Callithrix jacchus: one gene and its partners. The protein of the gene in region 4 purifies or fractionates together with the protein of the main gene of each other region. This does not show direct contact. Links are inferred from orthologs where the notes say so. Each region holds a gene or a part of one and is shown on either strand. Other genes may lie near its edges.

The links.
Region 1: the proteins of NUP214 (region 4) and NUP88 purify together in Homo sapiens (affinity purification with mass spectrometry; 6 studies listed by BioGRID and IntAct, counting the BioPlex papers as one, with this or other methods). This does not show direct contact. The link is inferred for Callithrix jacchus from reciprocal best matches to the Homo sapiens genes NUP214 and NUP88.
Region 2: the proteins of NUP214 (region 4) and XPO1 purify together in Homo sapiens (affinity purification with western blotting; 4 studies listed by BioGRID and IntAct, with this or other methods). This does not show direct contact. The link is inferred for Callithrix jacchus from reciprocal best matches to the Homo sapiens genes NUP214 and XPO1.
Region 3: the proteins of NUP214 (region 4) and RAN purify together in Homo sapiens (affinity purification with mass spectrometry; 3 studies listed by BioGRID and IntAct, counting the BioPlex papers as one, with this or other methods). This does not show direct contact. The link is inferred for Callithrix jacchus from reciprocal best matches to the Homo sapiens genes NUP214 and RAN.
Region 5: the proteins of NUP214 (region 4) and NUP62 purify together in Homo sapiens (affinity purification with mass spectrometry; 5 studies listed by BioGRID and IntAct, with this or other methods). This does not show direct contact. The link is inferred for Callithrix jacchus from reciprocal best matches to the Homo sapiens genes NUP214 and NUP62.

The regions. Positions count from the first base shown.
Region 1 is NC_133506.1:106,916,800-106,920,259, forward strand, and holds the end of NUP88 (nuclear pore complex protein Nup88), read right to left. Parts: intron 3,133-3,460; coding exon 2,974-3,132; intron 2,379-2,973; coding exon 2,253-2,378; intron 2,145-2,252; coding exon 2,079-2,144; intron 1,942-2,078; coding exon 1,861-1,941; intron 1,586-1,860; coding exon 1,459-1,585; intron 1,303-1,458; coding exon 1,184-1,302; intron 752-1,183; coding exon 688-751; 3' UTR 512-687; downstream 1-511. UniProt on the Homo sapiens protein: Component of nuclear pore complex.
Region 2 is NC_133515.1:52,624,314-52,627,830, reverse strand, and holds part of XPO1 (exportin-1), read right to left. Parts: intron 3,097-3,517; coding exon 2,915-3,096; intron 2,274-2,914; coding exon 2,225-2,273; intron 2,150-2,224; coding exon 2,030-2,149; intron 631-2,029; exon of another isoform or gene 526-630; intron 1-525. UniProt on the Homo sapiens protein: Mediates the nuclear export of cellular proteins (cargos) bearing a leucine-rich nuclear export signal (NES) and of RNAs.
Region 3 is NC_133510.1:134,087,326-134,091,618, forward strand, and holds the start of RAN (GTP-binding nuclear protein Ran), read left to right. Parts: upstream 1-1,479; 5' UTR 1,480-1,510; intron 1,511-1,971; 5' UTR 1,972-1,981; coding exon 1,982-2,017; intron 2,018-2,197; coding exon 2,198-2,282; intron 2,283-2,364; coding exon 2,365-2,490; intron 2,491-3,943; coding exon 3,944-4,131; intron 4,132-4,293. UniProt on the Homo sapiens protein: GTPase involved in nucleocytoplasmic transport, participating both to the import and the export from the nucleus of proteins and RNAs. Switches between a cytoplasmic GDP- and a nuclear GTP-bound state by nucleotide exchange and GTP hydrolysis.
Region 4 is NC_133502.1:179,780,754-179,784,270, reverse strand, and holds part of NUP214 (nuclear pore complex protein Nup214), read right to left. Parts: intron 3,413-3,517; coding exon 3,261-3,412; intron 2,303-3,260; coding exon 2,104-2,302; intron 724-2,103; coding exon 653-723; intron 1-652. UniProt on the Homo sapiens protein: Part of the nuclear pore complex. Has a critical role in nucleocytoplasmic transport.
Region 5 is NC_133523.1:43,685,946-43,688,629, forward strand, and holds part of NUP62 (nuclear pore glycoprotein p62), read right to left. Parts: intron 841-2,684; 5' UTR 777-840; coding exon 1-776. UniProt on the Homo sapiens protein: Essential component of the nuclear pore complex. The N-terminal is probably involved in nucleocytoplasmic transport.

The DNA of each region.
Region 1 (3,460 bases), on a different chromosome or scaffold from region 4:
AAAAAGACTTAGAGAACTGAGAACAAAGTCACATTCTGCATCCTAATCTGTTTTTTTTCTCCCTTTAAGGTGCTAAACTTGCACCTCATGCCCACTCAACAAGTATTGTGACATAGAGCACAGCCTCACTCAGCTCTGAAAGGTAATACTGCCTGTGAGGAAGTGAGCCAGCAGTGGCCTTTGCAGTTGTAGATCTTGAGCTTTGCTCTCAGCAGACTTCAGGTGTAACCATTTGTTAACTGTACTGAAGGCCTGTCCTTAAGAAAGTGTTCAAATTAAAAAAGCTGCTGCCGAGTACACTGTGTGGTCTTTTCCTTTGAATCCTAGGGTTCTAACCCTCTTCAGAGTCTTATTTCTGGTGCTACTTGAGAACACAGCTCTTATTCTTGCTCAGATCTGGAGAAAACTCACTCACCAGGGCTCAGAGAGGTTCTGGCAGTGTAGAGTGAAATAATCCTGAGTCCTTGCTGAATATCACTTTAGGCTCGAGTTATAAAACACATTCCTCCAATTTTAAATAAAAGCATTTATTGCTAATTATAAAACAAAATATTTAAAAAGATGAAAAACCACACCAAAGGTCATCCAAAATGCCTTTTTATAAATGAGATAATAGTCCCTGTTTTACAATATGGGTTTAAGTCTTCACTGGTGTTCACTTCAGGTGTTACTTGACTCCTGGTGGCGTCAGAAGTTAACATGATTGCGGATATCATTGATTTGCTTCACCATTTCCCTTATGTGTTCACCCCTGTAAAATCGTAGTCACTTACTTTTGGAAATAGAATAAACCATTTGTATGGATTCTTAAGAATCGAAACGGGTAATGTTGAAATATCTAAGAACTGCTTTGCCAAAATTAACAGCTGAAGGGTTCAGATGGATAGCAATAGTGTTCACTATTCATTTAAGATGGCAGTGATGCTAGTACTGGAAATATTTTTTAACATAATTGTAAAATGCCTTTGGCCACACAACAAAATCATGTTATTGGAAGGTCATAATTTTCAGTTCTCCCACGATAGTTATTTCTTAAGTCCCTATGTATCATGTGGCTCTCGTCCCAGTAATTACATGACATGCAAATACCAAGATTCAGGTTTCTATTAAGACAGAGGTTGATTGTGGTATACTGTAAAGGAAAAACGATCTCAGTGATAGCTGATTGGAAGTATTTACTTACTCTTCCTTCAGGACGGACTGAATGCACTTTCGCTGGTAGGCACTGAGAGTAATGGTGGGTTTTTGAAGACTCAACACCTTCTCCATCTTTCGCTGTTGATAGTCTTTTTTCATAGTAACCTTAAGTATCAAAAATAGATATTCTGGCAATGGTTTGCCACACATTTTCACACTGTCTTTTTGAATCTGCTCTTTTTACATTTTTGTAAGATTTTCTGTAGAATAAGCGCTTTAAAAAAAAATCACCAAATTTAGCTACTTTGCATCTATTCCTACCTCTTTTATGGTGTTGCCCAAATGTCGAAGTTGATCAGGTATTAGCTGTAATTCTTTCTTCATGTCTCGCTCACTATCAGAGAGAACTGGGAGCTGAGAGTGAAAACTGTGAAGTACTTTCTTCATCCTTCAGAAAAGGCAAGGACACATCTCAACTTAAGGTCTCTGCTAATTAGGAGAAATATAATCACAAACCTCATAATTCATGAATCTGGTGTCTGGGAAGTAGGCCCCATAGGAAGGGCTAGGGGAGAGTGTCATGTTTTCCCCAACATGTAATTCAGAGGAAAGGTAGGGGGATCGATTCAATCTTGCAGGTATGTAAACACCTGCCAATGCCCATTTTCTTAAACATCACTGTTAGTACTGAGTAGGTAACTAAATGTTACACAGCCCACTGACCTGTTCATGATATCCTCTTGTTTTTCCTTGGCTTCCTCATATTTGTCAGCTAAACGCTCAGCCATTTCCCGCAGACTTTTCCTAATGACATAAGAAACAAGAGACTCCTGGGGTCCACACCTTGATGTTGAAACCAACTAATGTGGCTCAGAACCTTAGGGTGAGAATATGGTTCCAGTCTTACTTACTGTTTTCATCTCCTTATTTTTGACACTTACCTCTCCTCTCGACAGTAATTGAGATCTTCTAGTTGTTTCTTTTTTTGTTCACATAATAATTTGACCCTTCAAGAACAAAAAGAAATAGAGTTTAATCAGAAGCCAGGTCTAGGCTATGACATAGCATCGGCTACCAGTGAGGGATTAGTGGTTTCTGAACAAAGGACATCATACCTCCGCTGAATCTCCTCCTTTGCCAAGTCCTGTTTAAGAATGTACTGTTCTCTGAACACCTGGGTGGCTCTGCTGATGAGCTGAAGACATTCTTCAGGAGGAGGGGCTATGTCCTTTTCAGAAGATCTTAAAAACAAAGTTTCTACCTTTATTTTCCTTAGCTGAGTAAAACAACTGAAAACGGACTCAAGTCACAGGTGCTTTTCAAACTTTTCATATTTTTTCTTTCTTTGAGATGGAGTCTCATTCTGTTGCCCAGACTAGAATGCAGTGGTACGATCTCAGCTCACTGCAACCTCTGCCTCCCAGGTTCAAGTGATTTTCCTGCCTCAGCCTTCCCAGTAGCTGGGATTACAGGTGCCCACCGCCATGCCTGGCTAATTTTTGTATTTTTAGTAGAGATGGGGTTTCACCATGTTGGCCAGCCTGGTCTTGAACTTTTGACCTCAGGTGATTGGCCACCTTGGTCTCCCAAAGTGCTGGGATTACAGGTATGAGCCACTACGCCTGGCATTACTTATTTTTAAACACTTCCTATTTATCATTCTCAGGTGCCACTTTCCCCTACCCCATTCATTAACTGATTAAATATATATCCAGTTTCTTCCAAATCCATCATAGTAAAAAGTAGATGAAACAGATGAGGACAGAAAGGATGCACAGTAATTATGAAGACAGAAGAGAAACCATTCATAAAACTGCTATGCCAAAGGTTGCATACTTTAAAAATGCTGGATTGGCAACATTACGTTGCAAAATGCTTCTAATATGCTTTTCAAAGGAATCTGGGGTTTCAGCCAGAATACGGAGGGGAGACTCTGCCACTTCAACATCTTCTCGAGTACAAAGCAGAGGAGGAGACACTGGATGCACTGTATTTCTGCAAAATATAAGTAAATTGAAGTCTACCGTGGAGTGATTTATTGAATTATAGAAAAGCAGAAACCACACTGATCTAGAACTTTCAGAATATAAAAATAAGGTGTTATTTTTGTAAAAGTGTAAGAATGCATGTTTTCCACCTTGAAAAGGTCACTTTGGGAAGCTACACCCTTACTCTTCCAATGCCCCCATCTGTCAAAGCATTTCTGATTGCCATTTCAAGTTATTTTTTTAAAAGATCAAGGCAGCACAAAAACATAAACCCATCATGGATTCTGGCAAAGGACTTAAGAGCCAGTTTATAAGCCTGAGCCACAAACATAAAT
Region 2 (3,517 bases), on a different chromosome or scaffold from region 4:
GTATCTGACAGATATACTGAGAGGAAATTTGATTACCTACCCAATACACATTAAATGCTTTAAGAGCAAATTCTGCTTTCTTTTGATGTGTTCTTAGACATCTAAAATAACAAGACTCCTTAACAACTTTCCTAGAATCTGTGACATGACTTTTGGGAATGTCATACTTTCTGTGTAATTACACAGAACCTAAAACTTGTGATTGCTTAGGATTTTGGAAAATGGTTATTATATCTAAGAGTAATAAGAAAGTGGGAAAACTGGCTTTTATATTCTATTGTTGAGAAGATAAACAATTATCCGGGTTTGGGAATTTAGTGGGCATTAAAACCTTAAAAATAAACATAGCTAATAACCTGGTAATTATACATTAAAATATTTTTTTCTTACCTAAATCTCACCTTGAAACATTAAAATATTTAAAGAAAGTGACTATTTGGACAACTGCATAATCTTTTATGTCTAAGAACGTACTCTGTAAGACTGGTGACAATACCAGTATTTTTATTTATTTTTTTAAATAAAAAAAATATGGAACACTTCACGAATGTGTGCCATCCTTGCCCAGGGGCCATGCTAATCTTCTCTGTATCGTTCCAATTTTAGTTTGTGTGCTGCCGAAGCGAGCACAACAATACCAATATTTTTACATAACTTAATTGAGCAATAAACTGATCATTCAAATACCATAAATCATGTTACCAAACTCTAAACTACAAAGTTGAAGGGGTTAAGTTACAATGTACCAATTAATTTATTCATTACATCAGTCTTAGAAAACATCTGAACATGTAATACAACTAATTGCTAACAGTGATTATCTCCGGATGAACCACTGTAGAATTTTTTTTTTCTGAGACAGGGTGTTGCTGTTACCCAGGCTGGAGCGCAGTGACAAAATCTTGTCTCACTGCAGTCTGCCTCCTGGGTTTGAGATTTTCCTGCCACAGCCTCCCAAGAAGCTGGGACTTACAGGCATGCACCACCACACCTAAGTGGTTTTTTTTTTTTCCTTTTTTTGGTGAGATGGAGTCTTGCTCTGTTGCCCAGGCTAGAGTACAGTGATGTGAGTCTGGCTCACTGCAACCTCGACCTCCCAGGTTTGAACAATTCTTCTGCTTCAGTCTCTCAAGTAGCTGGGACTATAGGTGCATGCCACCACACTGGGCTAATTTTTTATATTTTAGTAGAAACGAGGTTTCACCATGTTAGCTAGGATGATTTCGATCTCCGACTTTGTGATCTACCTGCCTAGGCCTCCCAAAGTGCTCAAATTATAGGCATGAGCCACTGTGTCCGGCAAGTTTTATATTTTTTGTAGATATGGGGTTTCATCATGTTTCGCAGGCTAAACCATTGTATAACTTAAAGAACACATAAGATGGTATCAATTTTTAAATCTCAGTTAAAAGATTAACTTTTCATTTTTCACAAATAGTACTTGACTTACCTCACTGTAACTTATACATTCAACTAATAGATGGCAACACAGGGCTGGACGCAGTGGTTCACGCCTGTAATGCCAGCACTTTGGGAGGTTGAGGCAGGCAGATCACCTGTGGTCTGGAGTTTGAGACCAGCCTTGCCTACATGATGAAACCCCATCTCTACTAAAAATACAAAGAATTACAGGCGGTCACCTCTAATCCCAGCTACTTGGGAGGCTGAGGCAGGAGAATTGCTGGAAACTAGTGAGTAGAGGTTTCAGTGAGCCAAGATTGCGCCACTGTACTCCAGCCTAGGTGATACAATGAGATTCCGTCTCAAAAAAAAAAAAAATATGGCAATATAATCAAATCCATTATTTGTTATAAATGAATTCATAAAATTACATGGTACAAGTGGCAGAATCAGATTTGAGACTCACTTCAAAGAATTTACTAGGTGTAAATATGAAACATTTCTTCTGAGCAGTTTCCTCATGTTAGAACCAAGGTTGAATAATGGTTTTGAATGCAGATATGAGAGCTTTATATGTGAAAAGAATATATGTGGCTATCCAGTGACAAATTAACTGTATTCACTGTACCTTATAAATTAATGTGCTGATTAATTTGGTCTCAAAAATATATCCCAGTGGAATCCAGTTCAGGAATCTGAGCAACGTTTCCAAGGTTGCATGTACAAGTGGAGCATTTTGAGAATTTTCCTACAATAAAACATACTTGTAAATAATTGCTAACATATTATTGTTATTTTTAAAAATGAAATTAAAAACACTTACCATTACAAACTGACACAGTTGAAATATCTGTGAGAATTCATTGCACATGCTAAAAAAATATATATACATATCAGTTTTAGAAGACACAGAAATAAATTAACAGTTATGTACAATACTAATAAAAATGATTAAGACCCAGTACAGTAGCTCATGCCTGTAATCCCAGAATTTTAGAAGACCATGGCAGGAGAATTGCTTGAGCCCAGGAGATCAAGACCAGCCTGGGCAACCTAGCAAGACCCCATCTCTCAAAGGAAAAAAAAAAAAAAGATGAAAATTTCAACCATCTGGTAATTAAAGATGTGACTATATTTATCTGCTCTCTCTCAGCAAAATTATCTTCTATTTAAACATTGAGCCACTGAACTCCAGCCCAGGTAACAGAGTGAGACTTGTCTCATAAAATAACTAACTTGAATGTTTGGACACGAATCATTTGCTTAGAACCTATTAATTAGTTATCATACAAATCAAATCCTGAAGTGTATCTCAGAACAATCCACTTTTCAACCTCCAGAGGTAGTTATAGACCCAATCTAGGACTATTTCTTAATTTGTAGTTGAAAACCAGTATAAACAATTGAACGTATTACTGATCATGGTTCCTTAAAATACCTACAATATACATTCAAATTGCTTGAAATTGTTTGAGAAATTACTTTAAAATTCTAAAACATAATTATTACTTGCCTGTCTTTTAAATGCTTAGATTTGACTTGGGTTATCTGTCCACTAGAAAAATCAAATACTTCTTCGCTCAAGAGTTTAAGAATCACCATATTATTTTGACAGAGACTTTCGCTGGTCCTACTTGCTCCAACGATATCGCTAATAAAAGTTGGCCAATGTTTTGGCCACTCTTGTTTCAGTATCTAAAATAAGACATGAAATGTTAATCGCACTTCCTTTATCAAATGCAAATAAAACAACCTTCAAAGAAATTGTTTAATGGATAAAAGCAGCAGTAAGGACCAACCACTTTTCATTTTCTCCTCCTTTATTTTATTTTATTATTATTATTTTTTTTGAGACGGAATTTTGCTCGTTACCCAGGCTGGAGTGCAATGGCGCGATCTCGGCTCACTGCAACCTCCGCCTCCTGGGTTCAGGCAATTCTCCTGCCTCAGCCTCCTGAGTAGCTGGGATTACAGGCACACGCCACCATGCCCAGCTAATTTTTTTGTATTTTTAGTAGAGACGGGTGTCTCACCATGTTGACCAGGATGGTCTCGATCTGTTGAACTTGTGATCCACCCGACTTGGCCTCCCAAAGTGCTGGGATTACAGGCTTGA
Region 3 (4,293 bases), on a different chromosome or scaffold from region 4:
GTTTCCCTTCAGGGCCTCTCCCTAGAAACGGAAATCCAGGGTCACAAGCAGCGGGCATTCCCGTTTTGCTGTTAGATTCTGCTCTCCCACCAGCAGCGTCTGAGAGGTGGCTGGCGTTCCCGAGGGTCCCTGGACTTGCGTTTCCAGCTGGCCGGTTCTCGCGCGCCTTGTGCGCACTTTGCGTCACTGGGGTTCCCAGCGGACTCGCCTGCAAGTGTGCTCGTGACTGCTGGGCGGACCCCTGGGTCCCTGGGGCTCTTTCCCCACGGGGAACTCTTTTCTGAGGTGCTTGACTGCGCTGATTTGGGCCTTTATCTGTCTGCATGTCAGCAGGGGCGCCCAGGAAGGACCCGTGGGTCGGGGTCCCTCTAGCTCAACCTGGCCTAGGCTCTTCACAGCTTCAGCTCCACAGGGGGCCGGGAGCTTGGGCACTTCCTCATTCCGCCCCCGAGGGTAACTACGGCTGGAAGACCCGCCCACACCGCAAACGAAATTTCATCGTTTTGTTTGTAGGATGCGGCCGCCATGGCTGCCGACCTATGAAACGCTCCGAGAAGGGGTGCTATGGCCGGGCGCGGTGACTGCATCTGCAATCCCAGCGCCTTGGGACGCCGAAGAGGGCGGATCCCTTGAGGCCAGACTGGGAGACACAGTGAGATCCTGTGTCTCAATTAAGACAAACAAAATCAGCCCGGATGTAGCGCGCGCTTGTAGTCCCAGCTACTCGGAGGCCGAGACGGGAAGACTGCGTGAGCCTGGCAGTTCCAGACCAGCCTGGGCCATACAGCGGGACTCCGTCTCAAAAGAAATAAGCACCCGTGTTTCTGGGTGGGCGCATCCCTCTCTGATGCCTCGCTCTCCAACTGTCCCTGGGCCTGGGGGCGTGAAGGCTAAGCTCTGGGGAGACAAAGGCGCGGGCTGACCCTGGGGGACCGGCCTAGGACCCATTCATTCATTCATTCGTTCTGTCACCTACCGGTCCTGCGCCGGCCTATGCCCCAAAGACCCCAAGTACCCTCACTCCACGGGGCGCAGACAACGACAGGCTGGCCAGCGCCTGGAAGCCGCGTGCCTGACCGCGTCTGCCCGAGCGAATCCCGCCTCCCGCCGGGGAGGCCGCAGGGCCGCGCCTGTCCCGCCGCGCCCAGCATCTCCCGGCCAGGAGCGCGCCGCCTCACCAGTGGCGCATGCGTGCCCGGGAGCCCGCCCTGAGTGTTGGCGCACATGGGGCCCGCGGGTCGGCGTGCGTGCGCGCTCCCGCCTCGTCCTCCCACGCGGTCCACCGCGCCTACCGCCCCACCCTGCGCTCCACCGAGCCGGGTTGCGTGCGTGCGCGCACGCGCGGTCCACGTGGGCGGGCACCGGACCGTTGCTCCGCCCCTTGTCAGCCCCGCCCCGCGCCTGCCCCGCCCCTGCCGCGCGCCGGCGTCGGCTGCGTCTCAGGCGTTTGAATTGCGCTTCCGCCATCTTTCCAGCCTCAGTCGGACGGGCGCGGAGACGCTTCTGGAAGGTAACGACGCGGCTGGCCGGGCAGGGCCGGGGTGGGGGGGACAGGGGCCGTGGCGGCGGGACAGGGGCCGCGGCCGGGGTCAGGGCCCGGGCTGGTGGCCGGCCCCGGGGCAGCGAGCGGCTGTGAGTAGGTGGGTGGCGCGGGCCGGGCCGGGCCGGGGGAAGAAACGGGCGTGGGGTCGGCGCCCGCCCCCGCGAATCCCGGTTCCATCCCGCGCTCCCATCCCGCTCCCGGTCCCAGTCTCGTCTCCATCCCGGCCCCCCCGTCCGTCGTTCCTTGGGTCCCGCTGCCCCGGATGCCGGCCCCGCCCGCCGCCTTCCCGCTCCCAGGCCCGGCCGCCATGGCGCCGCGGGCGGGAGGCCTTTGTGGGGCGGGCACGTGGGGCGCGGGGGGCGCGGGAGCGGGGCCGCCATGGGCTGCGGGGCCGCGCGAGCGCTCGTCTCCGTCCTCTGCCTCCGCAGGAACGCCGCGATGGCTGCGCAGGGAGAGCCCCAGGTCCAGTTTAAAGTAGGTAACCCTGCGGGGCGGGCGGCGGCCGGGCCGGCCCGCGTGCGCCTCGCGGTCCCTCCTCCCGGGCCCACGATGGCTGTTAGCCGGGCCCCGCGTCCGCGTTCTTGGCGTGGCGGACTCTGGGATCCGGAGAGGTGAAGTGTTCTGGGTTTACTTCCAAAATGTGTTCTCCAACAGCTTGTATTGGTTGGTGACGGTGGTACCGGAAAAACGACCTTCGTGAAACGTCATCTGACTGGTGAATTTGAGAAGAAGTATGTAGGTATGTGCGGGAGCACCTTGTTCGCGGACACGGGTGGGAAACGGGTCAATGCGCCCACTCACTGGCATCGCTTCCGTCGCAGCCACCTTGGGTGTTGAGGTTCATCCCCTGGTGTTCCACACTAACAGAGGACCTATTAAGTTCAATGTGTGGGACACGGCCGGCCAGGAGAAATTCGGCGGACTGAGAGATGGCTACTATATCCAAGGTAAGCATCCGTGACTTGCTGAACCGTTGCTGAGAGCTTTTGTGTACTGCATCCTTCAAGGTTATAGAAAATCAGGCCGGTTCCGGCAAACAGTGCTTAATACTGTTAGGGGAACTGTGTCATTTTTGGGTTAAAAAACGTGAGCTTCGGGGAGCTGACCACCATTTTGGTGGCAGAGGAGAACATTTTATGCAAGTTGTGTTATTTGCATGCTGTGTCATGCTAGGCATGGTTTAGAAGAAACTGTGACTTACACTGGGTACATGTCATAGTTTAAAACAATCACAGACAGGCTGTTAGAGCAGTTCAGTATATGAAAACAGGCTCAGGTATGAATTTAGACGTAGTGATCAATGATTGTTTGTACTCCATTAAAAAACACCAGGGAAGATAGGGATCTTAGCAAGTGTTATGCAAGACTAGGTGATTTCTTGTTACATTGTTTGTACTAAGTTGCGGAGAGTATTTTTCTCAAATAGATTGATTTTTAAAATTGCAAGGAAGACGTTCATTATACCAAAAAGAGGAGTAAAGGAAATACTCATCTCTCCTGGATCCTCACTTTGCTGATAACAAATTATTTGGAATCATTCCATGCCTTTTGTTTTCCTTTAGTATGTACAAATAAACACAAGAATTTCCCCCCAAAAATCTTTTAACCAAAAAGTTGTGGATTCTTGCTTTATCAACTATGCCATAGCTGGCCCTGCAGGTGAATATATAGACTTTATTTGGGTTTGTTATTATTTTTTGAAACAGGGTCTCTATGTGGCCCAGCCCAGAGTGCAGTGGTGTGATCTCAGTTCACTGCAGCTTCTGCCTCCTGAGCCAAGCTGTCCTCCCACTTCAGCCTCCTGAGTAGTTGGGACTACAGGCACAGGCCACTATACCTGACCAATTTTTGTATTTTATTTATTTTTATTTTTATTTTTTGTAGAGATGGGGATTCATCATGTTGCCCATGCTGATCTCGAACTCATGAGCTCAGGTGATCACCCACCTCGGCCTCTCAAAGTGCTGGGATTACAGGCATGAGCCACATCGCTTGGCCTGTCTGGATTTAAGACAGGAATATTTCCTGGTATAGTCAGCCATGCCATTGAAAGACCTTCTGAAGAAGGTGTTTGCAGGCCCCTTACCCTCAGAATATGGCAGCTCGGTTCTGCAGAATCTCACTTATCATTAATCTACCCGAGATACTTTTTGGGATGAGGGTACTGTTAATGATGAAGTGTATCAGGGAGGTTTGACGGGGTCAGCTCATCTTGCTTAGGAAGAATTGTGAATTAACATTTTTAGAAATTGCGAATTGACATTTTTAGAATTGGAAGTGAAGGGAGAAAGCTAGGAGACTCGGTGAGGTCTAAGACCAGATGAATCCTAGACTGGTTCTTGGCATTCTTCATGTGTGTAGTAAACTAAGTGTACTAACTACCACAAATGTTCCTTTCAGCCCAGTGTGCCATCATAATGTTCGATGTAACATCCAGAGTTACTTACAAGAACGTGCCTAACTGGCATAGAGATCTGGTGCGAGTGTGTGAGAACATCCCCATCGTGTTATGTGGCAACAAAGTGGACATTAAGGACAGGAAAGTGAAGGCAAAATCCATTGTCTTCCACCGAAAGAAGAATCTTCAGGTGTGTGAAAATTAAAACTTCCTGAGTTATTTCTCTTAGAGGAGATGATACGTAAGACCATGAAATTGACCAGTCTATATTATATATGGAAATAATTTTATTTTTATGCTATTTTTATTGTTTTTAAAGACTGATAGAGATGGGGTTTCACTGTTGTCAGGG
Region 4 (3,517 bases):
CGGGGAAGAAGGCACAACAAAGGCCTTGGCGCCACCTGTGACTCCCTCCTTCATGTCCAGGCTCAATAGACATATGTGGGTTCCTTGCAACTCAATTGATATCGAAAGATATTTGCAAATATTATCTCAAGAACATCACAGGGAGGATGATAGAGGGCACATGCAACAACACGAGTATCCATTTTCTTTGATGCCCACAGTTAGAGAAACGAATTCTTTAAGATGGATTCAATTAAAAGACAAATACTGTGCTTTAACCCAGAGTGATTCTGCACGGTTGTCATAGCTTTTTCACTAACTCTTTGCCTTTAAGCTATGTTTTTATGGAATGGACTGAAAATATTAAGTTGGGAACAGTACAGAGTATGATCATGTTTTACATAAAAAACAAAACAAAAAATGCAGCTACACACAGATTGTTTGTATAACATCCAGAAAAGCCTGGAAGGCCACCTAGTCTATACAACATAGTGGGTGCCTCTGGAGGGAGGACTATGGGAGAGAAGGGAAGAGGTTCCACTCTTCATTCACTGATGGATTTGTTACAATGAGCATTACTTTTTAATAGGAAAAACAAGAACAATACTCCGAAACCACCCCCAAAAAAGTGGGTGACTTAAGAAAAATTCTAAAGTTCAAGATATGAACTTACAGGAAGATACTGGACCACAGTTCCATTCTGTTTTCCCACTGCCAGCTGCTTTCCTTTGGGGCTCCAGCACACTGAGCAAAGACAATGTTACCAAATAAAAACAAGAAAATGGAGCAAACCAATGAGATCTATCACACACAGCTAATTATCACTTCTCATTCCTCTGTCAGTCCATGGAAGATTGTAGGATCATCCCCACCCGACAAAATGGAAAAAAGTAAAATTATTTTAAGGATATAAGCCAACTGATTTATCACTGGGCTATTGAATTGAAAGCTAAAAATGCTTTTTCAATAAATTACTGCCCAGAAAGCTGCAAAATACAGAAAACTCTGTAGTCTTTAGATAAGACAAGGAGAACACAGAAGGTTTCCAAACATCAAGAAATCATTGGCTGGGCGTGGTTGATCACGCCTGTAATCCCAACACTTTGGGAAGTCAAGGCAGATGATCACCTGAGGTCAGAAGTTCAAGACCAGCCTGGCCAACATGGAGAAACCATGTCTTTACTAAAAAAATACAAAAATTAGCTGGGCAAGGTGGTATGCACCTGTAATCCCAGTTAAACTGGAGGCTGAGGCAGGAGAATCACGAGAATCACTTGGATCTGCGAGGTGGAGGCTGCAGTGAGCCAAGATCATGCCACTGCACTCCAGCCTGGGTGACAGAGTCAGACTCTGTCTAAAAAAAAAGAAAGAAAGAAATCATTCTCCTGCTCCTATTTGATATTCCAAATGCCTCTCCCCATGAAGGTACAAGTGACTTTTGGAGTATCACCATTATAGATCCAGAAGCAATTATTCTCAAAAACAGTTTCAAACCAGCTATACCAAAAGATTTCTCCAAAACCCAAGTATATTCAGGTTAAATTATGTATGCTGTTTGGCTTCAAGGACAGTAAGTATGGGAATAAAGAATACTCTTAGCCAGGTGCAGCAACTCACACCTGTAATGGGAGGCGGAGGAGGGCAAATCATTTGAGGTCAGGAGTTTGAGACCAGCCTGGCCAACATGGTGAAACCCTGTTTCTACAAAAAAATACAAAAAATTAGCTGGGTATGGTGGCACAGGCCTATAATCCCAGCTTTTTGGTAGCCAAGACACAAGAATTGCTTGGACCCAGGAGGTAAAGGCTGCAGTGAGCCAAGATCATGCCACTGCACTCCAGCCTGGGTGACAGAGTGAGACTGTCTCCAAAACCAAAAAAACCTCCACTCTTTTTTTTTGTTTTCTTTTTTTTAATGGTTATTTTTTCAAAGTTCCACAAAAAACCCTCCACTCTTAACCTCCTGTCATGTTTAAAAAAACAAAAAACAAAACCACACACACACACACACACACACACACACACACACACAAGACGAAAAGCTATCCACTTTTACTTCTAGAAATCAATTCTTAAGTAGACTGCCATTATTGTATGTTACAGTGTGAGAGCCTTTGTTACTCACCAGAGGTTACTGCTACTGTAGAAGGAAGTGTTGCACACACTTTCACTGTTTCTGTGACTTGCAGGACAGCAATACTACCATCAGCCAGACAAACTGCCACCATGGAGGGGACAGTGGGATTCCACTTCATATCAATCACCATGCCTCCTGCATCTTTCAAAAGCTTATGATAGGCAAATGGGCGTTTCTGCTGTTTAGCCTTTTAAAACAAATATGCAAAAGTGGAATAAGTTAACAAATTAGTAAATGCAGAGACATTTAATATTCTATGGAAATTACCGAATATACAAGTTATCTCAAATTAGTTTTTCTCCATAACCATAAAAAAAGACTTAGCTTTATATATCTATTTGCTATAGACAGTTTTAACACAACTTAGAAAATGGCAATCAATTATTCATTTTTTTGAGACAGGATCTCCATCTGTCACCCAGGCTGGAGTGCAGTGGCGCAATCCTGGCTCACTGCAACCTCTACCACCCGAGTTCAAGTGGTTCTCCTGCCTCAGCCCCTCAAAGTGCTGGGATTACAGGCGTCAGCCACCACACTCAGCCAGCAATCAGTTATCCTAACATGTTCAGGGAGACTCTCAGCAGGGGAATGCACAAATGCAAAATAACCAATAAATAGCAGACATGAGATTAAAATCTTGGCTCTGCTTAACAGTGTTAGGACCTTGGACAGTTACTTAAACTCTGAGCCTCTTTCTCTACCTATAAAATGAAGATAATAGTACCTACTACATAAGGCAGTGGTAGGCATGAACAAGGGACAAGACATATAAAGCACTTAGTACAGAGTCTGACACACTATTACTATTATCATTCTTAAACTGCTTGGAATGGAAGAACATTGCATTATGAGGCTAAAGACCCAAAGTGTAGGAATTTTTGACATTATCTATTACAAATTTGGGCAAGTCATGTAAGTCTCCTGGTAACACCTTGGGGCAGATAGTGTTATGAAAGAATTTCTTAAAGTCCCTTCTGTCTCAAAAATCTATGATTCTATAATTAAGGTGTTTTTTTTTTAAATCCCATATTTTAATCTAGAGAAAGACTTCAAGGGTTATACTATGAAGCTTCCAAGTTATAATTCAACACAGGGAAATCTGCTTAGGGTTCTCACGTTGATATCACAGTATAAAAGTAGCTTACCTCATTGGAGAATGTGCGAACATCAAAAAAAGCAATAATGGAACCATATTCACCGGACATCATGCACACAGAGAGTGTGAGGTTATCACAGCTCAAGGCCAGGTGATGGATTGGGAATTTCATAGGAACTAGCAAGCCTTGGACTTTATCAACTATGAAAACAAAAAAATACAAAGCAAAAAAACAGTATGTTCTAAGCATAAAGCCACAACCTCTAACCAGGTCAATGTGAAAAAATATATTTGCATCTGCATAAA
Region 5 (2,684 bases), on a different chromosome or scaffold from region 4:
TTTAAGCTGAAGCCCAGTGTCCCAGTGGCAGGGGCTCCTGCTGTGGTTGCAGGGGTACAGAGGGAGAGGCCGGTGGTGGCGGACGAGGTTGGAGCGGTTGCTATTGAGGCAAAGAGGGTGGGCCCAGCACTGGTGGTGGTGGCCATTGGTGTGGGCGCAGCTGGCTGAGTGGCGCCTGCTGTGGTGGCTGCTGGCGTGGCCGGAGTGAAGGACAACCCGGCAGGTGCCGTGGGCTGGGCTGAATTCCCCGCTGAGCCAATGTTGAAACCAGAGGTTTGGGCCGTGCTTCCACCAGTGAACAAGAACCCTCCCGATGTGGTGGCTGGAGCCACTGAGGTGGTGGGGGGGCCAAACACAAAGCCAGTGGGTGCTGTGCCCTGGCTGGAGGTGGCGGTGCTCGGCATGGCATTAGTGAGGCTGCTGCTGCCCAGCCCAAAGCCGCTGGGGTTTGCCATGGCTGGGGTGGCAGCTGCATTGCTCAGGTTTAGCTTTGAAGCACCGGTCCCCAAAGAAAACCCAGTTCCCCCGGAAGCAGGAGTTGCTGTTCCAAAACTAAAGCCCGGCGTCTGTGTGGCCGGAGTCTGCGTGGCAAGTGAGAAAAGGCTGGTGGAAGGGGTACTTGCGGCTGCTTGGGAGGGAGCCCCAAAATTAAACCCTCCGGTGCCAGAGGTGGAGAAAGAAAACCCTGTGGCAGGTGTGGTGGTTGCCGTCTTCGCAGTGCCAAACGTGAACCCGCCTGTAGGGGCCCCAGTGCCTCCAAAATTAAACCCGCTCATGGCTCCAGACTCTGATGGCGGCAGCTACTCCAGCTCCGAAAGCAAATCCGTCGGTGTCTGCAACCTTGGGAAGATTTGTAAAGCAGAGGAAGCGACATTGTCAGATGGCAGTTTTGGAAAGGCAAACTCAGTGGCACGCAACCCCTCTTCTTCCTGTGTAACCTAAACCAGGCCCTGCTAAACCGAGGAGGATCCGAAAGCACCAGCGCACGCGCCAGGGGTCAGGTATGAGGAGCCGGGGTGCTAGGGATGTGCATGGCCACGTTTAGCACAGTGGAAGCTCCCACTCTGTGGAGGCGGAGGCGGAAGAGCAGAACCCTGGACCCACCTCGGTCCGAGGAGGGGATGAAATGTGAGGCACTGCCACCAGTGGGACTAGGACACAGAGGAACAGCTGTAGGACCTGCTCTCAGCATGGGACCCAGTGACATTCCCCCACTGACGCTAGCAGGGCGTGAGCAGATCAGCTCATGCCTCCCTAAGGGCCTCTCCGGACCTCACAGAGACACATGGGGCTGGGAACTCAGGCCAGATGGCAGAGCCTGGGCTGCTGAAGGCCCCCACACCTGCACTCTCTAGCAGGCAAGGACGCTGGAACGCCCTCTCTTAACTTGGGGTGGGGGGGTGTCTGAAACCCATGTGCTCAATCAGAACACAGATGCCCTTGGCTGCAGTGATTGGCTCAAGGATAAACTGAGACCTGAGCCAGCCAATCAGAGCCTCCCCTGGGGGAGGCAGCTGCCTCCTTCACCTGTAGGTGTGGTACAGAGGATTGCACCTGAGCCTCCCCTGGATATGTTCTCAACCATCTATCTGCAGACACTGGGACATCACAGGAGACCATGAGCCCCACCAGAGATGGGTCGGGGAGGGATAAAGAGCACCCCAGAAGCCCCATGGGCCAGAGCATCTCCATGTTCAAACTGACTGGATTTTGGTAATGTCAAACTGAAAAAGCTCCAGTGGCGCCATCCATCAGCGGGAAGCTCAAAGGTCACCTGGAGAGGAAGAGGTGAGGGAGTGCTGGACAGCGGTGATTTTCTTTTTTTCTTTTGGGAAAAGGTTTTGCTCTGTCATACCAGCTGTAATGCACTGACACAATCACAGCTCACTGCAGCCTTGACCTCCTAGGCCCAAGTGATTCTCCCACCTCAGCCTCCCAGAGTAGCTGGGATTACAGGTGCAAGCCACCATGCTCAGCTAATCTTTTTTTATTTTGTAGAAACCGGATCTCTGCTGCCCTGGTCTTGAACTCCTGGGCTCAAGCAATCCTTCCTCCTTGGCCTCCCAAAGTGCTAGGACTATAGGTGTGAGCCCTGAAGATGATCAGAAGTGTCCCTAGAAGACAGAGCCCGGGTGGATGTGACTGACTCGGGCAGACAGGAAAGCTTGGTGCCGAAAGCAGACCGGAGTGGTGCGCTTTCGAATCTGAAGATGGCGAAGGCCAGGAACCAGGGAAGGCATAAGCAGCTCGAGAAGCTGGGAATGGAGAGAGCGAGACCCTGTCTCAAAAAAAAGAATGAACAAAGTCACGACTGAGAAGCCAAGTGCCTGGCCCAGAGAAACACCCACGAGGTCTGTTTCCTCTTCCCTCTCTCCAGGCCAGTTTTCAAGTTTCTTGGTGTCTGCCCTCAGGAAATCCCCTTCTAGCTTGAATCAGAGGAAACCTGCCTCACTACCCCCACCCATTCCACTGTACCATTCTGCCTTCCTCAAGGCCCTCATTTTTGTTTCATCTGCCCCTCCTCCTCCACACAGCCAAGCAAGTCTGGGGAGACGACCGGGGGGCCAGCCGCATGGGGCTCTGCCGTGTCCAAGTCAGTGGATCTCAGTGGGTGTCCATGAGCACCGCCTGGCAGCGTTTCAAACACAAGAGTCTCTGCAGGGCTGGGATGTTGGCCCTGGCAT